Linked DNA regions of Coturnix japonica. The protein of the gene in region 2 interacts with the protein of the main gene of each other region in a biochemical or structural test. Links are inferred from orthologs where the notes say so. Each region holds a gene or a part of one and is shown on either strand. Other genes may lie near its edges.

The links.
Region 1: the proteins of CCNA1 (region 2) and MYBL2 form a complex in vitro, tested with the Homo sapiens proteins (2 studies listed by BioGRID, with this or other methods). The link is inferred for Coturnix japonica from reciprocal best matches to the Homo sapiens genes CCNA1 and MYBL2.

Annotation. Positions count from the first base shown.
Region 1 is NC_029535.1:3,104,659-3,109,021, forward strand, and holds the start of MYBL2 (myb-related protein B), read right to left. Parts: upstream 3,081-4,363; 5' UTR 2,970-3,080; coding exon 2,950-2,969; intron 2,483-2,949; coding exon 2,389-2,482; intron 1,288-2,388; coding exon 1,216-1,287; intron 827-1,215; coding exon 734-826; intron 1-733. Other genes in the region: uncharacterized protein LOC107322882, read left to right, coding at 3,939-4,363. UniProt on the Homo sapiens protein: Transcription factor involved in the regulation of cell survival, proliferation, and differentiation. Transactivates the expression of the CLU gene.
Region 2 is NC_029516.1:154,345,507-154,350,077, forward strand, and holds the start of CCNA1 (cyclin-A1), read right to left. Parts: upstream 2,853-4,571; 5' UTR 2,669-2,852; exon of another isoform or gene 2,649-2,668; intron 2,571-2,648; 5' UTR 2,554-2,570; coding exon 2,431-2,553; intron 1,677-2,430; coding exon 1,433-1,676; intron 1,213-1,432; coding exon 1,088-1,212; intron 810-1,087; coding exon 586-809; intron 1-585. UniProt on the Homo sapiens protein: May be involved in the control of the cell cycle at the G1/S (start) and G2/M (mitosis) transitions. May primarily function in the control of the germline meiotic cell cycle and additionally in the control of mitotic cell cycle in some somatic cells.

The DNA.
Region 1 (4,363 bases), on a different chromosome or scaffold from region 2:
TACAGCCCCTGGTGAGGACACAACCTGCAGTTTCATGCCCCACTAATGCCACAACACGTGGTGCAAGCACAAAGCAAAAATGAGCAAAATTCACTTAAAAGCCATCTGCTTGGCAATTTCCTCTTCGCCTAGGGCCTTTACATGTTGGCCTAAAGCTCAGTGCAAATGCTTCCAGGTAGGGAATCTTTTCTGGCTGGCCTGAAATAAATCCATGCAACAAAGCAATGTAACATAACATGCTGCTCGCAGTGTTTATCCTGCCAATATCTCAGAGAGGAGGCCAGATGACTCCAAAAGAGCACTTTTACCCTCTCCAGCAGTGCTTAGCTGAAAGGTGCAGGTAGCAGGTGCACCACAGATCTTGCTCACAGGGTCCATAACTAACACTCCTATTGCAGACTGACTGCCTAGGGCAGACAAATGGGCCACAGATACCCACGTTCAAGGATCTGGATTGTTTGCAGTGCAAAACTATCCAGCTTCAAAAAGCTGGAGTCTGGCTTGGCCATGATGGCAGTGGGCATCAGGACTAGGTTGGCTGGCAGAACAGGACATAAAGAGGGGAAAATAGGCAGCAACTGCTCTGCTGTAAGAAGGTAGAAGGGCATTGTTATAAGCTTCCTCAGGAAGTGTTTGATGTAACACAGATAGAAAGCTGTCTAGGTCTGACACCTCCACTTTGTTGACAGAGAGTCAAAGTCCAACGCTCAGACCCTGTCCTTGCCTGACTTACCTTTTGGTCCTCCTCTTTGGTCCAAGGGCCCTTAACCAAGTCTGGATTCAACACCCTCAGCCACCGGTACTGACACTGCTGGTCACTGCGGTTCTGGGGAAAGGAATCAGAGCAGATATACATTAGACTGGAGGCTCCAAAAACCCCTGTAGAAACACAGCAGTCCTCACACACACAGTCTGCAACATGGAAAAACTACAGATGCACAGAGAATGCATGCTATGGATATAGTACAGGGTACTGGGTATAGATACAAGGACAGGAACCCCAATGTCTCACTCCAGCTCCCAATAAACTCACACCCTCTAAGCAAGAAGGATGTGTCATCCTGCCCTAGAGGAACACTAAATTTGTTCAACAGTAGCAGCCACAGAACAAAGTGCCATCATACAAGGTGTTGCATGGAGACAGCCAGTGCCCTGAGCACAAGAAACAGCATGCAAACAACACTACAATTCCCAACCAGGCAAAGGGGCACTTACAGGAAAGTGACTGGCCAGGAACTTCCAGTCATTCTGTCCATAATGTCTTACTAACATCTTCAGCTGCTCATCCTGCAAGGAACAAAGACATCCACTTTCACATACACTGAGCAAAATATGTCACAGTCATCACTCTGAAAGCAACAACATCAAGATATGTTAGATATTCAGATATTTATTAATCGTTGAGCTTTTTATGTCTGCATTACAAGGAAGAGGATACTTAAGTTCTTTATCAGTGTCCCAGTGCACAGAAGCCAGTGGGAACACATTTGGCTCAGAGCTCTGTACTAGGGCAAGTTCCTGGTGTGTGCATGATGAGAGCAGAGTACAATACAAACCCAGTTGCTGTGGTCACATACAGGCCCACACTGAGTTTAGTTCAAACTATGCAGCCAGAGCTACCTGCTTATCCAGCCCCAGTATGTCCCTGACCAGGCAGCCTATCTCCCAGCTCTCATACTGCCTTTGCCTGGCCAAAGAGACCAACTGTTTTAAGTACATCACCACTAACCAGGCAGCCCGCTGCCTTTCTACACTGATAGTTCTACAGCACTTCTCTCACAAACCCTACACTACAGGGCTTCCTTGCCTGAGGGCAAGGAAATGAAAGATCTTGTGGGTGGGCAAACAAAGGTAAGAAACAACTCCCTGCCCAACACAAGCCCAAGATTTTGATCTCTGCCCAAAGGCCACTCTTACTCCATATTCAGAGCTCAAGGAAAATGAAATGTTTTGTAGTTTTTCACAAAATAAAAAGACTATGAAGGGACCAGAAGAAATGCAGAAAAAACGCCAACTCATTTCAGGCTCTTTGCCACAATCCTAAAGGTCCCAGCCCTGTCCACATTGACTTCAGAAGAGGGCATGTGCACTGCATGAATCAGCTCCAGGCCTCTGCCACCCTCTAGCAACTGCTGCAGGCAGCTGATAGCTTGCTGTAGGCCCAGGTGCTGAAGTAGTCAGAGCTCTTTGCTCCCCAGGCTTCAAACTCACCTGACCTTCCTCTCATCAAGGCCTCAGCAAAACAGACAAAGGGCCTTCCCCAGCAATGAGACACTGTGAGTGGGTGTTGTGGCAGCAGGCAAGGAGCAGGATAAGGTGCTCACACTGAAGGCCTACCCAAACTCTACCAATAGCCCTATGAGCAGTGGCTGCCCGGCCCTCACTCACCTCCTCCTGCGTCCACTTGACCTTGCACCTGCCATCCCGCTGCTCGGGCACATCCGAGTCGGTGTCCTGGCAGTGTAGCTCATCCTGATCCTCACTGCAGAGCAACAAGCAGAGCGTTATTGCCTCCCCTGGGCAAAGCACAGCACTCCCCCCACACACCCGGCCTGCAGGGCCCTGACCTCCAGGACCCCTCTGCGTGCGGGTCAACCCCACATTAACACAGAGAAAGGACAATCCTTCGGTTCCAGCCCATCAGTGAGGGCTCCGTGAGCCCAGGCCCCGCTCCATCCCCCTCCATACAGCTCCCCAGCCCTATTCGTTACTGCTGGGGTACAGAGGGCACCAAAGCAGCGCACAGCGAGGCTCCCACAGGGCCGGGACCGCTCTCAGCCACCGGGCCCAGCCTGAAGGCATCACGAAGAGGCGGGCGGCGGGCCAGGCTCTGCTACCCCATCCATCCACACCGCTCAGGGACACCGAAACCGCAAGACCCCATAGACCACAGCCTCCCCCCCATTGAGAAGACACGGAACCATCCGCACCCCGGGGGGCTCCACTCACCCTCGGTTGCGGCGCGCCATGGCGGCGGGGCCGGGCGGCGGCGGCGGCACTTTCCTATCTCGCGCCAACGGCTGCCCCCCACCCCGCGCGGGGCCGGGCCGCGCATGCGCACTAAGTCAGCACCGCACAAAGACGCGCGCGCGGGAGGGCGCCCTCCCGCCTGAGTGCGGCCACCACAGAGCGGGACAGCACCAGAATGAGCCTCCACCGCCTTAATGCCGGACTAACAGAATTAACCCAACTAACTTGCAGCCCTCCCCCCTCCCAAGTGATTTTAATGAGAGAATTAGCCCGTTAATTAATCCCCAGCACTATAAAAGCGCTCCGAGCAGCGCTAGTTAAAGGAAGGGCTGCGATCCTGAAAGAAGCCTCTGTAGGAGCTAAAGGCAAGTAGTGCTCGTCTTATTGCCTAGGTTTTTCTCTGTTTAGATGCTATTTAAGGTTTCATTTAAGGATGTTTCCCTTTGGGATGATCATATAACTGTCCTAAGTAACCTAGGGAGCTTTCTGCTGTGACTCTTGACGCTCCAATGTGATGTGATATAGATATTATGTTATTTAGGTATGATGTAATTTAGGATGCTGTAGTGTCCCCAGGTCACCCTGGTATAGCTATGTTTGTAAGGTCTCTATGCTACCCCTATTGGGATGTAGCCTGGCTCTACCTGGGATAAATGCTCTCCTGACCTCAGGAATGGAGATAAAGCCTTTCTGATGGCCACCTCAGTGTCCCCTGCAGCAGAGATGCTTCGAGGCCCCTCATACACAAAGCTAAGAGCAGTGCTATGTAGGTTGAGTGAGCACAAACCTAGGAGTGCTGCCTTGCCCCGTGCTCAGCAAGGGGCCTGAAAAATCATTCCTTGGTGCTGTGGTTTGGGCCCTGTGTCCTGTTAGGAGATGGGGTGGGGAGGGTGCCCTGCCTGGATCTGAAGGGCTGCCCTTAAACTGCGTGTTCCAACAGGGACTCCTGGTTCCTCCAGCCCTGCGCCATGCCGTCCTCGCAGCAGCACAGCACCCTGACCATTAAGGACCTGCTGGACAATGGATTTGTGGCTGGGGCCTCTGGACATACCCACTTCTCTCCTGTGTACAGCTACTACCTGGACTCCAGTAGTGCCCCAAAGCAGAGTACCTGGGAGCTGCTGGCAGATGTGGACACCACGAGGGGCAGCCCTGTGTGTATGGTGGCACAGCCCATGGGCAGTGGAGTGAGGGCTGGCCTGGGCTCCTCGGACCTCAGCTTCCTCTCCTTCTGCAGGAGCCCTTCCAGCCCTGCCATCCTCAACCTGTCAGCTGTGCCCTGTGAGCTGCCTGCAGGGCCCGGCTCCTTGCTGGATGTAACATCAAGGAACACCTCCACACCGTGCAAAGCTGGGAAGCGCCTCAAAGAGAGAGCGCTGTCCCATAGCACGGA
Region 2 (4,571 bases):
AGATGTTCTCTAAGTCATCAGCCTAAATAGTCATACACTCATACTAGCACTCTTGACGAATAAGAAAACTCTTAAGGAAAAAATGTCAGTAACATCATGCACTCTAGACAAAAATCCATGCACCCTTAGGCTTTGCTGGATACCCTGCCTATTTAAAGCAGTTTAAGTTTAATTGCAGATTGCAACTTTTAACCTACTATGGGCTAGTGGCTTAATACAGCACTGTTTTTGCTTCTGGTATTATGATTACAAGGTTCTCCCTCTACAGTTCCTTAATAAAGAATATTAAATTCTTAGTTTTGCAAGAGTTAAAGTATGTTAAGTGGCTAATGACAGAACCCTAGAATCCTTACACTTAGAAGGAACCTTTAAAGATCATCTGGTTCAAGTCCCTGCAATAAGCAGAGACAAACACAGGTTGCCCAGGGCCTGATCCAGCCTTACCTTGAAAGCCTCCAGGGATGGGGCACCATCTTAGGACAGCATGAAAACCTACCTACCACCACAAGCTTAAAGTCCTTCAAATTAAACTAAAAGTCCAAAAATAAGTTCATCTCACTAAGATTTCATGAGATAAACACTCACGCTGCCAGAAGAATTGCCGCTGTTCCTACAAGCTGCAGCTTCCCTCTGAGAACAGACATACAAGAGAGAAACCTGTCCAGGTAGTTCACTGCCAAGTACAGTGTCTCTGTTCGAAGTTTATATTCTTCCCCTACTTCCACCAGCCAGTCTACTAAGATGGCACGCATTTCTGTTGTGATATCTGGTTGCTTCCTCATGTAGTAGGGCTTGGGCCTGTATTTCACCTGTTTAGAAAGACAATTTAAGAAACAGAACAGCCGTTGAAGTCACATGCGTTAGTATTTTGCAATAATCTACTCACATCCCATCTTCAGAATGTGGAGTAATGCCTGAAAAACATCATCACTGTCTAGAAGATTTCTAAGAACTAAGCTCCAGTAATGGCTTTAACTGTTTGTTCAGTGACAGCCTAGAGTTAGTGTGTGACAGCCATATGGCTTTGCAGTATTGCAGCCTTTAAGGAAGATCCTACACAGCTTTACATTTGTTAAAATATACTCACTTCAGCTTCTCTGAGGTACTGATGAATGTCTTCTGCATACTCTCCCACAGTCATTAGAGTTATAGGATCTCCCATCTGATCCTCAGGCCGGGACCGGAAGGATGTGTCCACAAGCATGGGAGATGCTAACAGGAAAGAGAAGCCAGGAAGGCATTTAGTTGATTAGTCTCTTCACTACCTCTGTCCATTTCTAGCATAGAAGTGTTGCGCATCACACTGACTCAATTAAAGTTATCATGAAGTGGTAACTATTTGAAGATAGGCTACTCACTAGCTCACTGCCAGCATGATTCATAACCACATTGCAAGTACCTGTGATACCATGTGAACATTAACAGGAGTTACCTGTACTCAGATCCAACAGTAGGTGAATGCTGGATGTCATTGCACTAGTATCCAGTTCACACAGGCTTGACTCCAGTTCTTCATCCTCTTGGCAGCTGAAGTTTTCTTTCTCTTCTGGTTCATCAGTGTAAATAGCAAAGTCCTGTTTTGATGTAGTACTGACCACACAGTTGGATATTTCATCTTTTCCAGCTGGAGGGAAGGCATTCTCAGAGCCAGATAAGTGTCTGGTAATAGCAGTATTCTGAAACAGAGTACACAATAAGGCTGTGGCAAGGTAATTCAAGAAGAAAACAGCAGTATCATTTGTTTTAGAGAAGGTATATCACTTTCCTTGGTTAACGGACAAATAATTACAAGTTTGCTGGGAAAGCCAGCAGCTACAGTTGTTACTTAAGAAATACTGCTTGCTTCTGCAACAGAGACCTTACAGGAGGCGATGGGCAGTGCAAGCCAGAAACCAGGAGCACAGCCTCACTCCCACAGAGTAAGGCAAGGACACTGCCTGACTCCAACCTGCTGGCATGTGCAGGGTCTGCTCCATATTCACTTCTAGCAAGGAGAAGGTGCTACAGCACGTCATGGCGATGAAAGGAAGCATTCAGGCACCATCACAGGCTTAACAAAGGACATTATGGGCCAAAATAAGTTCAGTTACAAAGCAAACTTTGAACTTCTGAACTTAAACACCACAATCCATAAGATTTCAGGTTACAATTCTCCCCATCATCGACCATCTACTGACTGAGCTATGGGCTTCACACCACCAAAACCAAGCATTCCACAGGCACACACAGCTGGGTGATGTCCTGTAAGCCAGCACAGCTGCTTTCTCCCTGCCACACCAGCCATCCCCAATTAGGGACCAGAGAGAGAGGGCTTGGGAAAGCCTCGCTAATTCCCCTTACTCCCAGTAAACGCAGCCGGCACGGCATTCCCCAGGCCGACCACGAAGCCCACCCCGGTCCCACGGCTCACTGGGGCTTTCCGGGTCTCACCTGGGCGCTGGGCCGCTGCTGCCCGTTCTCCACCAGTACCCCCAGCACGGTCCGCCCGCCTCGGGGCGCAGCGGGGAGAGGCTCCCTCCGCCCCGCTTGGCTCATCTCCCCCGTGCGGCGCATCACCGCGACTTCGGCACCTTCCGGACGAGAGGAAAAAAAAATAACAGCACTTAAAAAAATAAATTAATTAATTAAAAACACTTAACAAAACGTACCTGCCTACGGAGCCCCGCACCTGCCTCGGACGTGGCGATGGATTCAGCTACGCTACCCCCTCCCAACGCAGAGCCGCTCGCTGCTGCCACCCGCCGCTCCCTATATAGGCGGCGGCCTATGGGCGCGGCGGCGGCTGTTGGCCGCGGCCAGTTGGAGGCCGGGGCCGCAACCACCCGTGCCGCCGCCCTGGTAACCCAAGCGGTCTCGAGTCGCCGTGGAGACTCCACCAGAGCCGGGCTGACCCAGCAGGGACCGACGCGGGCCGAGCGGGGCGCGGGGCGGGGAAGTGCAGGCCCGCCTCCGCCCCGCGCCGGGTCCGCTCGGGCCGGTGGTTGGAGCCGCCTCAGCCCCGCGGCCGGTGGCGGCCAGCGGCGGTTTCTCGGTTTTTGAACCCCGAACCCTGATGAAGGAGCCGTTCGGGCAAAAGCAGAGCGGTTTTAAAGCATGAATATGAATAACGGGATGAGTTTGTACGCGGTGTCCCAGAGATAAGGTGTTTGTAGTGAGAAGGGAAGCTAGAGGGATTAGCGAAAGCAAGGGGGATGTGTGGGAAGTGGGAGCAGGCAGAAGGAACGAAGACCAAACAAGATAGAGCTAGCAGGCAATAACAAGAGATCCGCGATTACAAGGTCAACAGAGAAAACGGCCAGGGGAGGGCTAGATTCGAGCAGCACTGAGCCCATAGAAGCATTCCGTCTTCTGGCTTTGGTTCCCACTGAGGAGGTCACCACTAGTAAGACCGAAATAAGGTCACTAAATAATGAACAACCAGGTACGAAGGAAGCAGGTCGTTTCTGCCTGGTGCTGATAGAGGACTTGGGCAGATGTGCTCCATCTCCTTGTGAGCTCTGACAGGTTTCCAAGTTATAAGAGGAATGCCACCAGGCTCAAAAGGAGACAGGAATCAAGAGAGGTTACCTTGAGAGAGTCAGGAATCAAGAGAGGTTACCTTGAGCTCCCATAAGAGTTCAGTGAACAAATAATCACTAAGAACTAAACATTTAGAGTATAAGAAAAGGATGTAAAATGACAACAGCAGCTTTACAGGAACCTCCAGTGGAGCATGAGTCTCCATGTTTACGCTAGACAGCCATGAACAAGCAGGAACATAGCTTGAGTGGCACATGAGCCCTCTGAAAGTCCATAGAGAGTACAAAAGAAATTAACCTCTTTATTTGCAATGGCAAGAGCAAGCAGCATAAGGGCTTTACACCATGAGGTTTAGATTAGGCATCACAACTGTGATGCTCCAGAAGAGATGGCACAGGAGGTTTGTAGGATTTCCCCCTTCTGATCTGTAAGATCAAGTCAGAGAAATTGTCATCAGGAATGTCTCTGCTTTGAGAGAAGTTCTCGGGATAATTAAAGCGAAGGGCTCAGATAAAGATTTTGGACCCATCAAGCAAAGCCAAATCTGTTTTATACACTGCTTGTCATCCAAGCTGTATTAAAGTCTATGTTTTTTTCCTTCCCTCATTTCTCATGTTTTTTAAATTGACCTTTCTCCTCTCCTCTCCTCTCCTCTCCTCTCCTCTCCTCTCCTCTCCTCTCCTCTCCTTCTCCTTCCCCTCTCCTCTCCTCTCCTTCTCTCTCTCCTCTCCTCTCCTCTCCTCTCCTCTCCTCTCCTCTCCTCTCCTTCCTTCCTGTTGTTTTTCTGAGCTGAATCAGAGAAAAAAGGCCAACAATTAAAACATGAATCTGAGGTTCAGGAGTTGTTGGCCAAGGAATAAAAACAAGTCCAAGACTCAGCCTTGTTTCAGACCCCAGCTCTCCACATGTACAGAATAAAGCATTTGGGCTTCTACTGAATATTTACTGGACACCACCACTTAAATCCAAACTACTCCGGTATACAAGTTCATAAAAGCTCACAGTGAACCTTGATTTTGGACAGGTTCTGCAATCTAATGGGTAAAACCTCT